2 linked regions of the Coturnix japonica genome follow. The protein of the gene in region 1 purifies or fractionates together with the protein of each later gene. This does not show direct contact. Links are inferred from orthologs where the notes say so. Each region holds a gene or a part of one and is shown on either strand. Other genes may lie near its edges. The genes, in order: ITSN1 and EPS15.

The links.
Region 2: the proteins of ITSN1 (region 1) and EPS15 purify together in Homo sapiens (co-immunoprecipitation; 3 studies listed by BioGRID and IntAct, with this or other methods). This does not show direct contact. The link is inferred for Coturnix japonica from reciprocal best matches to the Homo sapiens genes ITSN1 and EPS15.

The regions. Positions count from the first base shown.
Region 1 is NC_029516.1:94,960,717-94,969,162, reverse strand, and holds the end of ITSN1 (intersectin-1), read right to left. Parts: intron 8,446-8,446; coding exon 8,278-8,445; intron 6,986-8,277; coding exon 6,773-6,985; intron 6,261-6,772; coding exon 6,139-6,260; intron 5,204-6,138; coding exon 5,121-5,203; intron 5,021-5,120; coding exon 4,937-5,020; intron 4,525-4,936; coding exon 4,351-4,524; intron 3,493-4,350; coding exon 3,344-3,492; 3' UTR 1,253-3,343; downstream 1-1,252. UniProt on the Homo sapiens protein: Adapter protein that provides a link between the endocytic membrane traffic and the actin assembly machinery. Acts as a guanine nucleotide exchange factor (GEF) for CDC42, and thereby stimulates actin nucleation mediated by WASL and the ARP2/3 complex.
Region 2 is NC_029523.1:21,488,506-21,496,951, forward strand, and holds part of EPS15 (epidermal growth factor receptor substrate 15), read right to left. Parts: intron 5,084-8,446; coding exon 4,922-5,083; intron 4,297-4,921; coding exon 4,099-4,296; intron 3,788-4,098; coding exon 3,590-3,787; intron 3,058-3,589; coding exon 2,980-3,057; intron 2,727-2,979; coding exon 2,636-2,726; intron 1,375-2,635; coding exon 1,339-1,374; intron 457-1,338; coding exon 320-456; intron 1-319. UniProt on the Homo sapiens protein: Involved in cell growth regulation. May be involved in the regulation of mitogenic signals and control of cell proliferation. Involved in the internalization of ligand-inducible receptors of the receptor tyrosine kinase (RTK) type, in particular EGFR.

The sequences.
Region 1 (8,446 bases):
CTTCCAAATCATTATAACTTGCAGGTATATGACTTACTATTACCCTGGTAAATACCATTCTGGAGAGTCCGGTGGCTATAACCCAATGACCACGCACTTTCAGAAAGACAGGGAAGAAAATAGATCTGCAAAGAACATAAACTCATTTATCTTAACCTTGACTTGTTTGATGCTCTCTTCAGGCACTGCGATCTATCGGTCCTTATAGAATGTGAATTGACTTTGTAAGGCAGGCTCTTTGAACTCATCCCTGCATCTCCTGCATAGCACATGAGCATCCAGTCAGCTTCTAGTATGCCTATGTTCTAGCTGGGACACAAAGGTAATTAACTGCAATGGATCATAGCCTGTGGGATGACAGGGTTGGAAGGTGGAGCTCACAGTGAGGCCCTGCTGGGAATGTGTGTAGTGCAGCCCTAACAGAGGAGAGCTGAACATGCCCTGGGCTTAGAACCATAATATCATTTAAGGTTGGAAAAGACCTCTCAGATCACCCAGTCCAACCATCAGCCCACCCCCACCATGCCCACTGCCCACGTCCCTCAGTGCCACATCCACACGGCTCTTGAACACCTCCAGGGATGGTGACTGCACCACCCCCCTGGGCAGCCTGTGCCACTGCAGCACTGCTCTTACTGAGAAGAAATTGTTCCAAATAACCAACCTGAACCTCCCCTGGTGCAACTTCAGGCCATTCCCTCTTGTTGCATCACTGTTACCTGGAAGAAGAGACCCAGCCAGTCCCACAACTCCATAACACATGAAGTCCTGGATGGACAAGGGAAATTACAAGAACAGATTGCAACTTAGAAATCCATGAGCTGAATCCTACCCCTTCATTATCATCACACATGCATGATACGGGAACTAAACATTTCTGTGCACTGAGGACAAATTAGAAACAACAAGCAATGGTGGTTGGGAAGGTGCTCATTCATGTTACCGCATGAAAAAAATCCAATCTGATGTACCCATGATGGGGTCACAGTCCAAGAGGAGCCCCCACATCTACCTGACAATCACTTCCAACAGCAATTGAATAGCAGAGGAAAATGCTGCAACTTGTGGCTTCTTCTGGAAACCTGGACTGGATCTCTGCACAACATCCATGGTATTTTGTTCCTATTAGTCTACTTATTTGTTGCTGAAATTCATGCTATGGAAAATGATACGATAAACATGATCCGACTTTCTCAACACTGAGAGGAATGTTCACTGTATGTCCAGCTACTGAGTAAAATTAGGACAGCAATAAAAGGTTAGACAATGACATTTAATGTTACCCATTAATAGATTTTATCACTTTGTTTTTAATCCTACCACAACAATGTGTATCTTCATATACGTTATATTTAATAAAATGTATTGATATGGAATTAGGAAAACATGGGTTTAGTACTATTTACATATTTTAATCGAAACGATTTTCTTAACAACATTGAAAAATAGAAACTTAAAGTTCTCTTGATTGTGTTTTCTGCCAGTTAGTGGTAACCAAATGCGTGCCCAGGAAGTTGCACTCCCTCTCAAATGTGATCAGTCAAAAGTTTGTAACTGAAGCGTGTATTCTCTGTTTTTTCTGTTTCAAAAAATACATAAGTATGTCTGTCATTTCTGATACAAAATTCTACACTATCATCTTCAATAAATAAATAATAAAGCGATTCTGAAAAGTATGAAATGTAAACTTTGTCGTCCCTCCAACATACTTTTTTTTTTTTTCCCATTGCTTGAAACATTACAGTGGTCTCGTAGGAAATTATAATACACAGACACTTCCCAGCACAGTTTACACTTACTACCATACTGTATCTACCTATTCGTTATGAATATATCCTAATTTCCTAATGGAAATCAATAAGAATTGTAGTGCTAGAGAACACCATCTATACAGGGAAGGTGGAAACCGGTACTGAAAGGACATGCAAGGAACATCAAAACCTAACAACAGGCTCCACGAGAACATTCACATGCTAATGGAACAGGCTGACACCTCCCATTCAGAATAAAGTCATTACAAAAATACCAGTGTATGCATGATAGGTAATGAACAAAATGATTCCAGGCAGAACAAAGATGAATTTTACTCTTAGGGCTCTGTCACATCCAGTCCTAGCAAAGCACTTAGTTGTGTACGTAAGGGAAACACTACCTATGTGTGCACTTAGAGACAGACGCTTTGCCGAACGTGGGAAGTTTGCTGGACATTGGCCTGTATGTGTGCTATGTGTTGAGTTAAACACACATAAAACCTTTTGCGTTCCCCAAGATGAAATGACATCACCCTGGGTTTACCCACTCCATCACACGATCACAAACACTCCGTTCTGCTCACGTCTACCATCTTTGCCACCAACTTTGTGACCAGCCCAGTTTGCAACAAACACTGCTGTGAGTGACAGCGCTACAGCCCTGAATTCAGCAACATGATGTCGAACGCAGTCAGGAACAGTCCAGTTTAATAACTGGTCACCACCGATTGCTTTGCAAACTAGTCTATGGGGCAGAAATGAGCTTCCTGAGCTAGAGCCATCATTTTTTTTCCTTCCTCACTGCAGGTGACGGAACATCCACCTGCACTCACACAACTGAGCGGCAGTAGTAAAACAGTATTGAAGTGGTACAGCACAACATTCAGCAGGGCTCTATCGTTCCGTCCTTCACTCACTGTTCAAAGTCTTCTTCCAAAGGTACTGAGTGGGTGGATTCTTCTGGAGTGCAACTCATCTCTGCGCACAAGGCCTGCACGGAATTTATTTTGGGGGCAATGTGAGTCATGAAGTGGTATGTTAATAGAATCTTCTCTGTTTATAGATATAGACTATTTCTTTTCTAAATATTTTCAGTATCGCCATGAAGATCTCCAGAGATCTTCTTACTGCATAACTGTTTGTTCCATTCACAAAACATTTACACGCCACTTTGCTGAGCAATAGGCACAGAATTCCTTATGGGGGAAAACCCTGCAGACAGCCACCAAACATACCAACACTGCCTTCTTCATGTCAATTAACGAGTAGAGTAACTGGAGCAAGCACGGGGACCTGTGCGGTGTGCCAGCAGCACAACAAACAACCAGGTTACTTCATAAACCCAGGAAACCATCATCAGGTTCCACATGGAGAAACTGAGGGAGACTTCCTCACTAAACTGGGACTCGTTTTTCAGTGAGAATTATCAAGGCACAAAGATGCTCCTGTTTGCTTTGATAACCCTCTTGTGTGTGAAGGGCAAGCAGTAGTTTCATACCAAACCGATCAGGGTTTTGTGACAGCTTCTGCAGATACCTACATTGCAGTGAACTCAGACCAAAACAAAAAAAAAAACATTGGTCCCTTTCCTTCTAAGGCTCATCAAACAATTGCAGGTCTAGTCGGACGACTATCTCTCCTGTTGGGACTTCGTGGAGAAGGAGACACTTTGTAACTGGTCCCTTTGAACCCTGATCCTTCTTAATGTCTGCCACACGGATCTCTGTTCTGCCCAGAAAGTCTGAAATGCAAAAAGACGGCATGCTTAGAAATGAAACAACTCTTTTCTGCTGCAATAAAACGCTAAATTGTAGAAGGAGCTAAGCTTCCATCTACACACGACAAAAGGAGAAAACAAGCCCTCAGTCCAATCACATTTTTGCATTTGAAGGACAAACGCTGCCTGTCTGCACAGAAGAGATTTTCATCTGGACCAGTGGCAGCATTCAAAAATGATGCCAAAGGCAGAAAAAATGCACCATGTACTTCACAGCTGCTTTGCTTAAGTAACTTATTTATTCTATGATATGTTAGAAAAAAGGCCAAAGGCCACTGCCCAGCTTGAACTGAACGAGTAGCTCTCAGGAGATGACAGAGCAAGGGATAGATTACAACAGCGACAAGGTCATTGGGGCAAATGGTGCTGGCCACATGAATGACAGTCCTGCCCAAATCCTTCCTGAGGGAAAGTTACTCCAAAAGACATTCCTCAGTTCTCCGTATGTCTACTGCAAGTTATGAAATTAAAGTGGGTTGGGAATTCTGAGTTCATTTCTACTACTGCCTGTTACAGGAACCTGACAACTTTTCTTTTCCTCCTCCATTAATTTGTCCATTTGCAAAAAGCATCCAGAGTTACATGTAAAGACTTGGCAGAATTACAAACTGCACTTCACTTACTGTCAAACTGCACAAGAAAGGAAGCCCAAAAACCCAGAGAGAGTGCAATTCTTTTAGCTCCAACACAAGCATGACTACACTGGGGAGTGAGAGTGTGTCAAACACGCACAGGGGTTCAGTATTTACCTCAGTGGGAGTGCACCTCTTCAAAATGGGAGGCCTGAAAACACCCTTGGAAAGGTGGCTGCCCCCTGCTTACCATCTGGGGAGAACTGGTCCCTCTCAAACACCGTGATGCAGAGCACGTCCTGCTCAAGGTCTTTGATAAAGAACTGGCAGTTGGAGTTCCACTTCGGATTGAGGGTGTCCTGCATTGTCTTGGTGATGTGGCACTGAGAGCCCATCGTCACCTCACAGTATGGATTACTCTTTCCTGGGAAGTAGGAAACAAACAGAAAAATGTAATCATGTTTTCAAGTGCGTGTCTGAATACCATCTTCTTCTTGCAGCCAACAGACCAGGTGAAGACAGTGGCCTTGCTGTCATTTTAATAACCAGGGGCACAGTTCTGCAAGGTGCCAAGCACTTGCCACTCTTCATTAAGGATTTTGTGGCTGATGATCTCTTTTGAAATAGTTTATGTAGTAAAGCTGTTTGTATGAGCCAAATGATAAAGCGCAAGACAACTGCATGACTGCTACTGAACAGCACAGAATCACCTTTGTGCATTTTAAATTCATTAAAACAGCTTTTTTAAACAAAAATATGTTGACAGAATGTCTAAGTTAGTCACATAGGAATGTCTCCTTCATAGAGCACACTTATGAAAATCAGAAGGCACTTACCATGGGATCTGCAAGGTTTTAGTTCAATGCCTTCAACAATATTCACCATCAACCTCCCAATGCCTGTTGCTCTTTGTGAGCGAACTGTGGTGAAACAGAAGAGGAGAGACAGAAGTCCTTAATGTCTTTTCCAGCCCAGGGACTTCCCCATGAACGATGAGAACCCCAGTACCCCATGACATACCTAAGTAGGCCTTTTCCCTCTTCTTCTTTTCAGTCTCTATGTAAAGTTCCGAAGCAGCTTTAATTTTCTGAACCCACGCAGTCCTTCAGAAGGAAAGGAGAAAAAGGTTGCAAAATACCATTTCTGTTCTTACTCCCTACTGTACTGCAGGCAACAGTAAAGCTGGCCCTCCTTCCCAACCCCTTGCAGCCTAAGGCCCCCACCCTGCCTCAGGCTCTGCTACGCTGAAGCTGTCTGCTTGGAAGAGATCTTGCTGGAATTCATAGCACCCGTAGAAATGTAATCAGTACAGCCTAGCAGATCCCATCACATAACAGAAGCTCAAAAGAACTATGAACAGGCAGGGAGCAAAGATGTTTTATGCATTGGGATTTTTCCAGGTAACACATTCTCAAGCTGGCATAATACTATCTATACAATGTGTTTGGGGTTGGTTTGTTTGGGATTTTTTGCTGTTTTTTCAGCTTCTGATTTTTAACAAAAGTTATTTTTCAACAACTTAGAAGTCTGCAGACCAATATTTTCAACATAACTCAGTGCAATCCTGTCTTTGTAACCTTTCCAGAGACACAAGTCACTAGCTGAAGTTGTCACTTTTCTCATTTACTCATTATAAACAGAATCAGGTTAAAACTGAGTTTTGCTCAGCAGGTTTTTGCTTCATGTTTTAATCTGAGTCATTCCTGAATCTCATTCAAAATACAGCCATGCAGATGCTTGCATTGGCACAGAAAACTGATGGACATTAAAAGAGTAAGATAGGACTGAATCTTGTAGCTTCTTTACACTACCACAAAATGGAATCATCAGCCATCCTAGTGATCTCACCACTGGTATTACTGGAATTCAGGAAGTATCATTATTTCTCCATTCTTTTCATGTACTGATTATCACTTTATTCTCAAGCACAAGGAGATGTAATATTAACTGCTTGGACACTGCTATGCATATGTACATCAAACACATTTTAATCAGGCCTTTAAAAATTAGTACTAACGTGGCCTGTGCGGGTACTTACCTTTCATTAATGCTTTCAGCCCGGAGTGTATAGACTCTATCAATGTGGGAGATATGGAAAATGGGCTCATCTCCAGAAGGGTCTGTGGGTAATTTTACTAGTACTTCATTTAGAAAAATGGGCTGGAAAACATTAAGCAAAGCTAGTATTCCATTGCACACTATCCAAACATAGGCATGCAAGATACAGCAATTCAGAACAGATTTCATTTGTGCCCACAACAGTTTCTCCCCTTCAGCTGGCCTCCCATCTGTCTTAAAACGTCATTTTTAAGTATTTTCTTCTTATTAAGGTGCATCCACACTCTGGAAACATTTCTCCTAAAGCAATTGAAAAGCGTTATGAGGTATAGAAATCTCTCCCTTCTCACAGGGAGCAGCAAATACTGCTCTCTGCATCATCCCTTGTTATGCAAACTCTGTCAAAGAAATCGTTTTGGCCACATTTCAAAGGCATCTTCCCTTACCTAGCAGACAACCAGCTTGCTCAGCATTGGTCCCTGGAATCCCCAGCATATGCCAAAGCTTTCAACATTCTTCTATATAAAGACCCACACGTACAGTATGTGGGTGCTGCCTCCAGAACTTTTGTTAGTTTGTAACTATCCAAGCCACCATTTAAGAATGGTACTTACAGTTTTGTACATTTTGTATTGCAGATTAGACTTGGGGCTGAAGACTTTGTCTGTGCCAGAAGAGCCAAGAGGTTTTATGATCTGAGTCAAGAGGAGGAAATCGTTGAACAGAAAGCCATACAGTTCCTTGTTACTCTTGGCTTTATAGAGCTTCCCACTGTGCAGAAACTTGCGTGGTCCCAAGCAGTTTGTAACAGAATTAAATACGAGTTGCTGCGAAAAGTAGAAGAAGAAGAACAACGCACTGTATAAAGTAAAACAATCGAGGTTCCCCTGAAAGAGATCAAATACAGTTTTGAGTCCTGACATTAGTTTTGATTTGTGTCACGGGGATGATGAGCAATGTCTCTGCCTTGCGCATGACAAGCAGTGCAAGTCATAAAAATGTTATATGAAATTTAAGGCATCCCATCAGTTGCACAAGGCATGTCCTGGATTAGAGAAAAGCCAAAAGCATTTTTGCCTCCTTTTGAGTTTCTCTGCCACGCACGTGCACCTCAGTGAGCCAAGCTGAGTTGATGATGACTTGTCCTGGATGAGCAGTAGTTACACAAATGACCTCTCCAAATGATGAGCTTTCTTAACAAGAACAGCATTCCTGAATTGTGTATGAGTTTCACTCACTAAAACATAGCATTGCCTTGTCAGCAAGCATTCAGTTGGCCACTCAGGTAATATTACTCATGTTCCAGGGTTAGACATCACATACAAAAGACAAAAGCAGCCATCTCCCTTCAGGCAATAGTTTTAAGACAGCCAAACACAACTCTTGCCCTTCTGAACTTGTCAGAACTGTCTTTCCCCCAAAATAGATTTTTAAGACGAAATGCAACACTTTCCAGTTTATAAACCAAGAGGTGCTTATTATTTTTTTATCTTCTGAACTGAAAACTCAGCACACATTTTAAAGATCAAGTTGTGATCTGTCTGCCTCTAGTCTCTTCACCATGATAGGGAGGCCATCAAAGTATCCTCTGTCCATCACAAATATTCTGCTTTCAGCAGAGAGGCTTAACGTGTTACCTTAAAAATAACATACACTAGTAGGCAGCGATTCTCTCTGTAAAGTCTTGAGAGAGACTTGATCAATATTATCTCATTTTCAGAACGTATACAAAGTTTTATTACAAAAAGCAGATACTGTGATGACTTTTAAAGCGCTCCAAGATGGTCAGGTATGGCTTCAGGGTGAGATACAACAATACAATAATTAATATAAAAAGCCATGAAACTGAAGAGTTGTGGTTGAAAACTGCAGCACTTAATCTGGCACTAGTCCAGAGGCAGGAAACAAAAGCAACATTTATCATGTAGGAGACAATAATACAAGCAGCAAAAAGGATTACGTGCCCGAATGAAAGGGAGCCAAAGAAAGATGAAAACAAATGATTGAAGATTATATGATATGATTACACCATATTCCCTTGATGCAGAGCCATAAGTGAGCCATGGTTTCTTCCCAAACAGTGAAGTGTGTCCATTACTCTAGACAGCATGTTGTTTACCTCAGAGAGGCCTTCGCACTGAACATGAGCCTGGATCCACTCCAGCCTATCTGAATTTTCTTTCTCTCGCACTCCTTCATTTACTTGAGAACATAATTCTTCTGCTTTTTCAAGAGCATGCTTCAAGTGACTGTGGTCAGGATGGTTTTCAGGAGTGTTTTCTATTATC
Region 2 (8,446 bases), on another chromosome or scaffold:
GTGAAGTGCCTCAATAGAACCTGGTGAGATTAAGAAAGCAAAGATTAAGTTCTAACAGCTATTAGTAGAGCTTAACTCATTAGCCCCAAAACATTCCAATCTGTGGAACTGCACACTGAAATACTTTAAAAAATGTTTTTATATCTATTTTATGCATGGCTACTTCTAAAAAGCAACAGAAAGAAACAAGAGAGAGACATGTAGTGAGAAATACGTTTTATCTACATGATTTCTGAGTATCAGCATTTTAAGGTAGGTCCAAATGCACCAGGTGGTTAATTTTGTCCACATTCTATATAGTAGTAAGAGATCAGCTTACTGTGGTATTATTACTGTTGCTTGCTGCACTAAATGGATCAGTGCCTGCAGTCACAAAAGGATCAGTGGAGGACTGTTTGAAAAAACAGTCAGCTGCAAAAGGATCTGAGCCTTTGAAGGGATCACCACCAAAGGGATCTAAAAAAAGGAAACATCTCATTAACAATTCTACTTGCTTTATTTAACTTTGCATCTTAAAAATGAAATGTTACATTGCTTCTTTCATTCTGTGAGAAAGTGACACATTTAAAGACAGATTTGATGCTTCAAAAATCCTTGATCTGTGAATAATCTGAATTCTATGGTTCAAACATCAGACAAACTGACATTTTCTGCACACAACAAAAACTATACTGTGCCAATAGTGGAGCAGAACCATGTAAATATATAGCTTCTCTAACTCAGCTCCCTTACAAAGAAACATTTTTATATAAACTAATCATTTTCAGAACTTTCATATTTTCTTCTCCTTCACTCCCTCAACATAACTGATGTTTCCTTATTTGACACAGGGTGCACCATGCTGTTTTGCCGTAGCCTTCCCACTCCCCATTTCCTTTTTGCCACTGGTAAAACTGAGCAAGTAATGCAACAACATTGCTTAAAGAAACAGTCTCAACAGATCTTCCCATCTTCTTCAATATTTGTGCTACAGAAAGTTGCTGAATTAAGAGTCTTTAAGAGAACAGTCCTATTCCTCTGCAAACAAAACATTCTTTGAATTTGAGGCCTTCCATTTACCACCTCCATATATTTAAATCCTCACTAAGAATACTTTCAAAAGCAAGAGAGAAGTTCCTAGGGAACAGGCTTCTCTGAAAAGGTTTAACACAAGTGGGCAGCTGCTACTGCTATATATCCATCCTACAGTGACTTTTCAAATCACTACCACCTTTTTCACACTGTAAGCGGTGACACTTTTCCTCCAAAGTACTGTTCTACTAGGAATCATTTACAAAAAAGAAAAAAAAAAAGAAAAAGAACAAGAAAAGAAGCATTAGAAGTTACAAAGTTGCTCACCAATTTTCCCAAAAGGGTCATCTTTGAAGGGATCACCTGTTGAAAGGAAAAAGTGACTTGTGGATTTTAAAGCATAAAGCTTGTGTACTGAGTTGAAGTCTTTTCCACAGAAACAAGTTTCTAGAGCTAGAATTGCCCTCACTCAGAGGAACTGTTTTATTATTTTTAGTGGAACAAGAGCTGATAACAAAGCAAATATTCATCACATAATTTATTAGCAGCACGAAGCGCACAATAACAGTCATCTGAAAAAGGCATCTCTGTTGGCTGTTCTCAGTGAAGACCCACATTGTGCAGTATTTACACCACAGTAACACAGGCTAACTACTGATGGAAACTTAGTGCCACTTTTGTTAATTCTCAGAGACACTGTGGATAGTAGCCGTCAAGTGTTCATTTCTATACTGGATGCAAGTATATATATATGCATCAGTATATTCCCTCAGTTCACATATATAAGGTCTTACAGCTCTAGATATCTACCTCTAAACAAACTGAGCACACAAAATCCAGAAGACTGATTAACTGACATATCTTTCTCCTCTGAAAGGAAGGCTGTTATGTCCCATAAGCAGGACTACTTCAATATGAACAAAAAAAAAAAAAACCACAATAAAATCTTTGAAGTTTTAGAACAACTTTTTAATTGAAAAAGGTGAACTAGAGCCTAAATCTTCATTGGCAATCTTTTAGAAGCCAAGTGATGCAAAATAAATTTAGCTTATTTAGCTGCATACATCTGCTTCAACAGTTAATCCAAATTAACTCTTCCCATATTCCAAGTGTCTCTATGCAGACAGATCACTCCTTCCAATGTTATAAGAAAAAAAACTGGAGCAACAGAATTCTTGAGCGGCAAGTTCTTAAAATAAAGCATAGCACTTCCACAGATGAACAGATGGTACAGTTCCACATTATCTTTTTTTGAGTGCCTAACTTGCCATAAGTAGGCCACAGCCATTCACTCTCAGCCACCCACACTCTCCCCACACCACAGTTCACTGAACCCTCAGATGACCTGTTTGTGACTCTGTGCTGCAAATTAGATCACTGACACCACATGTATCACAAGTATGCCCACACCTTTAATACCAAAATGAGACCTCCAGAGGGGAAAAAAATAAAAGAGGCACTCAGAGAAAAAAAACCACACAGGTAAAGCAAAGAGATACACCGTAGAACTCTCATTTATATTTCTGTACTGCTGTTGGCTCTTGTCACTCAAGTACTTTCACATTTATTTCATAAAGACTAGAAGTTTAATCTGTCACATTTTTGGAGAGAAGAGTGTACTTACTGCCAACAAAAGGGTCGGACTGGAAGAACTCTAAGCTTGCTTCAGAAACTATATCAGGCAATGGGTGAGATTCAGCATCAAATGGATCCTCCTGAAGAACCCAAAAGAAGCAAAGAAAGGTGTGAAGTCTGAGACATTTATCTCATTCTCTTATCATTTATTAACTTCTTAAAGCTGAAATGAGTTTGAATTCATCAAGACTCAACAGAGAGCCACAGCATTCCCCAGTAAAAATCAACCTGCTATATAAGATGAATGCATTTGTGGCATCATGCCCTAGTTATTTTGTGGGTTTTTTTGTTTTTACATTCATTTCTTCCTCCCTTAAATTTGAACAAACTCACTTTTCTTGTAACAGTTCCAGCTGGAGTCTCTTTGTCTTCTTCTGCAGCAGCAGTTGTTGTTTCAGGACTATTTCTTGGCTACGTAAGGATAAAAGCAATTCAATGTAAGTAAACAGAACACTACACTGCTTACTCCATTTTATAGAGCACTACACTGCTTACTCCATTTTAAGTACCAAACTGTTGTAAGGATATACTAAAGGATACCTCAAGAGGTTCATACTTAGAAAACACTGAAGTGTTTGATAAATTGAGACAAAGAAAATAGACATTTAAATAGCAAGACAGCATTCAGATTTCTGTACTATTCTTCATTCTATTTCTGCTGCACCAATTGGAAACAGCTGCTCATATTTAACATTAATTTTGCTCTTCAATTTATGACATTTAGCTTTGGAAACAAATGCACAAAAAGAATTCTGTTGCCTCTTTTTCTGTTTCTTTCTTATCAACTTCCAGATCTCTGGAATACTCCCTCAGAATAACATCCTGAAAGCTCACTTTGCAAATGCTTAAAAACAAAATACAATCAATCTTAATACATTCTTAATTTATTCCAACTTCACAGCTGCATTGCATCACAATTACACAGGCAAAACACTTTACTCACTGGGGATACGTTGTTTATTTGTTCATCTTCAGCTATGCTTTCCCTTTCAGCATTCTCATTAAGGTTAGCAGTTTCGCTGCTGCTGTTGCTGAGACTAGAATGATCCGCAGTTCCATTAACAAGTACATTCTGTGGCTGAGAGTGCCAACTAAATTGGTTACTTTCCAGTTCTTTCAGCTCAAGAAGTTTTGTCTGCACCTGTAAATGGAAATAATGCATGTGTATCAGCGCAGTAGTACATGGAAACTAGAATACAACTTAACCTTCTTAAATGTGAGATGGAAGGTATATAGCTGTAATTCTCATGCAAAATCAAGTACAATATAACTATAGAATTTCATAGAGAACTACAAAACTAATCTAGAAGAGATATGGTAGACCTGAGAATCTGCTGTGCCAAGGAAGCTGGCCATACTGCTGGTGATCACTGGCATTTTTTTCCTGTTTTTTGTATTTTAAATTATTATTTTTCCTTTTTTTTTTCCCCCTCCCTTTTCACAGTGCCTTACCGAATTGATTTCCTGTTGTGAATCTTGCAGATGTTGCTGAAGAGGTCCCAGCTGTGCTTTCCCAGACTCTATGCAATGCTCAAGCTCTGCAGTTTCTTGCTGCAGACGACTCAGCTCCTCTTGAGCTTTGGTCAGTTCATCTTCATATGCTGATATCTTTGTCTCCTGGCTTGTTATTTCAGCTTTCAGCATGGCAATCTAAAGCATAAACAAGGATTCCAAAGCCAAATTAGGAAAACAACAACAACAACAACCAACATCACCACACCAAAAATATCCCACACCTCCAAATATATCCAGCAAAGGCTAGGATTTATGACCAGATTTATGACCAGCTATAGCAGAGATTTCAGACCATACTCTACCAGAAGATTAATTTGCTATTTGTCCCAATGAGATTAAGCTGTTTTCCTGACCAATACAAATATTACTAATAGTAAAGATATATATATATATATAAAAACCACAACAAAACCAACTCTGAAATTTTATGTTAGAATTTTTTTTTTTTTAAATCCCAAGAAATCAGTCCTGGTAATTAGTGTTTCTAGTTACATATACATTGTGTTACACATTTATGTCATTTGTTTGTACACAACCTTACATGTGTGCAAACATATCTTATTGCAGTTGTTGGCGCACTGAGACATAAAGAAGTCAGTGAAATAACTGATGTCTCTGCTGGTCACAAAATCCTGAAACTCAGCCTGTTTAATCTTGAAAGATTTTTCTCCTTTCCCAACCACCACAACACACTGCAAGCATGCAATATTCAAAATGCAGCAGTTCTCCTTAAGGGCTGAAGCCACTAACTAGACCTTACCAAGTGGGCCTCCTCTGCACATTTCTGCCTGATATCATTGAGTTGCTCTTCCAACTTGGCCTTCTGCTCATCAAGATCATTGAGTATTTCCTGTGCTTCCTGTTTCTGAGCTTGCAGCTTTTGCAGATTACTGCTCTCCCGTTTTACTTCATCTTGTAGATCCTGTGATAGAACAGATTAGCTTTGCCTTTGTTCACTGCTCCTCCTCTGATCATTAACTTTCATAGTATAAATTGTGGTGATGATCAGTCAGATTTCAGAGTATCAACGTGTTACCTTTCAAAGGCTAATATTTCACGTGCATCACACAAGCTTTAATTCTAAGAGAAAAATAGTTATTTGCTTTTTCTTTCATTAAAAAAAAAAAAAAACCACAAAAACAACCCAATACATTAAAATTTCATTGAAACACTGAAGATCATACCACTAATCAGAGATTACAACTACATAATCAGTGGGAGGCAAGCTTCATTTCTGAATCCAGAAGTCATCCTTTGTTTAGGCTGCTACATTCTCTCTTCTATATTTTAGCAATAAGTTTTATTGAGCTCCTCAGTAACTGAATTCTTTATTATGTTCCTTTCCCCTCAGAAACACACACCAACAATACAAACTCATTTTAGTAGCAAGGTGAAGAAAAAAATCAGTGCCTTATTAATCCAAATGATTTCCCCTGCCTCCAATTTTTGCTGAAATCACCCCAACTCTTTTTTGTTTCCAAGTAACAGTCCTGGTAAGAAATGTATGTTCCATATATGAAAACATGGCATGTTTTGTTCTAGGGAACAGCTGTGAATAAAATATAAGATACAGAAAGTAGCATCATATGGTAATTAGTTCATTAGTTCATTTCTGAGCAACAATAATGGTTGTACTTCAAACTGCAGAGATAACACTGGGAAAAAAAACAACATCCAAGACAAGAATCTAGCAAAAACTGTCAAAGTCAAGAAGAAGTAATACAGAGGGATCAAAAAAGGATTATTACAGAAGCATTTGATGAGAGAAGACTGCAGTCTTTCTAAAAAAAAAAAAAAAAAAAAAAAAAAGAAAGCAATTGAATGAAGAATCATATTCAAAAATAAATAAAGAAAGAGAGATTAAAGAAAATTTAGGACAGTCAGAAAAAAAGCTGACATTAAATTCTGATAAGATCATGTATTTCTGTACTGTTCTAAGGCAAGAGTCTGTTGTCATTTTTAGGTGATTTCTTTAAATTACTATCTTTTTTTAAACAAGGGGAGACGGTAAATCCATATCTGTTAACACCTCCAGTTAATCAGGACAAAAAGAGATGGAAACAAATGTATATGGCGCAGCAGTCAGATGCTCAGCAAAATGGGGAACCTCAGGACAATCAGAAGACCACCTAATAAAAAACCCAATTATTTTATTCAAAGAAAAAATCAAAATCCATTCAACTACTTCAGGATTAAGAGCTTAAATTTTATGCCTAACCTACAGCAGCCAGACTAGATGAATTGTTGATTGCTTCTGATTTATGGAAAATAAATCAGTATATGCAAAAAGCTCTGACAGCATCAAGTGACTTGGACAACTGGGAAAGCATCCTGATCCATTCTGTTTTTTCATGACTTTGAATACAAATACCATCTGACTCTCAACATAACAACCAGGCTGAGGGATGGAAATAACAGCTCCTTTCAGTCACACACAGAAACAAGCTAAATATAAATGACTTCCAGTCTTGCTACTGTTTCTGTTGACTCCCAATGTCTGCACTAGCCACAGCCATAGAGAAGCACTGAGGAGACCTGACTATACCTGATATCTCCAAAATAGATTTCCTTACCTCCATAGATACAAACATAAATTGTGCTTTTTTTTTTTTTTTTTTTTTCCAGGAGTTCCACAGGTTTGTTCAAAAAAAACCTTCAATATTCCACTTAAAACTGGAAACAGACCTATTGACTTCATGTCAGTAGAACTCTAGGGAATTTTATTCTAGGTATTCTTTCCCAATCATAGTTGGGAAAGCCAGAACAATCACCATTTATTTCAGAGTCTCTGCAGACACACTAAGAATCCATACACATACACATGTAAAGTGCGTGATGGAGGATTTGAGCCTTGGGAATGTGGAAATAACCCCATAACTTGAGGCACTGCCTACTGGCTGAGGCACTCTGTGCTCCAACCAGCACTTGGGTCTTGATGAGCAGCTTGGTGACAGCACAAGGGGATGCTTTGAAATGATACTTGTGTGGTCAAAAATTAGTGTTTTAGTGATACATCAACTCTGTAAAACTGAATTATCTTCTGACAAGAACATCTTGTATCTGAGTTTCTTATCTCTGTTATTTATAAGAAAATGAAAACTCCATCACAGAATAAATTAAAAAATGCCTCAGTTTCTCAATCTTTGCTATTCTACTCATTATCTCTTATGAAAAAAACAGCCTTTAATCAGTGCTGATAACACTTTAATAAGCATTAGAAAATATCAGTTTGTTATGTTTTCCCTACAACTCTTTTTCCATCTCTTCCCCTTAGACTCTATTTGTACAGCACATACATTATTTCACAGGGGAAAACAATTTTCTATCTCTTCCCCCATGTAGAACTGTTCACAAGCCTTTGTGAGATTATAATTTATGTCAGTGGATATAATCCTGGTATCATGAACCCCTCCATGTGATGCCACCACATTAGCTTGGTCAAAAGTGGCAGGTTACAACACAGTTTGTGCAAACCATCTTTAGAAATATTACCATAAGAACATCAGAAAAAAACAATAACCAAACAACAGGATGTAAAGATATTCTTTATCTGCCACTGCTATTCTGTGAAGTTCTAGAAAGTTTCATGTAACATGTGGGTCCTCCAACATTAAGGAACAAGGAGACCAGAGACAGAGAGCCATGAGCTCAAACGAATGCTGGAGTCATACCCCATCTGATCCTGATGGGTTCCCATTTTTCTGACATGTCAGCAATAGACTGCTTCACAGACAGAGAACTCATTATATTTAGCAGGATACAAATAGCTTATGTGATCACTAAGAGGTTAAAGATCTAAGACAGTTGTTTTGAACACAACTGCTCCGGATACAATGATTTCATTGATTCTGTGATGCTGCTGACTATCAAAGAATACAAAATAGACATAAGAACTCACTAACACTGTAACATTTTATGCCTCACAATGCTAGTGGCAGGTGTTTTATTTACCTTTAGACACCTCATGTACAAAGGCAGCAGAAACTCAATCTTATATGAACACACGAGTTTCAGAACAAACTAACAAAATCACCATGTGTGCCCAAATAACAAAATTTATCAGCATTTTTAAGTGTGAAAAGGTCCTTCATGGTGAAGGGGAGAATGACGACTGCATGCACAGACAGAACTGCAGGAATGGTCAATCTGGCTGCCATTGTGACCAACAGGCCAGCATCTGATTATCTTCAGAAAGGTCAGACTATTAATTATCATCTAGGCTTTAAGGATATTAAATAGCTGAGCACAAGAGTCACAATGGTTGTAACGCTGGCTTTTCTTTATG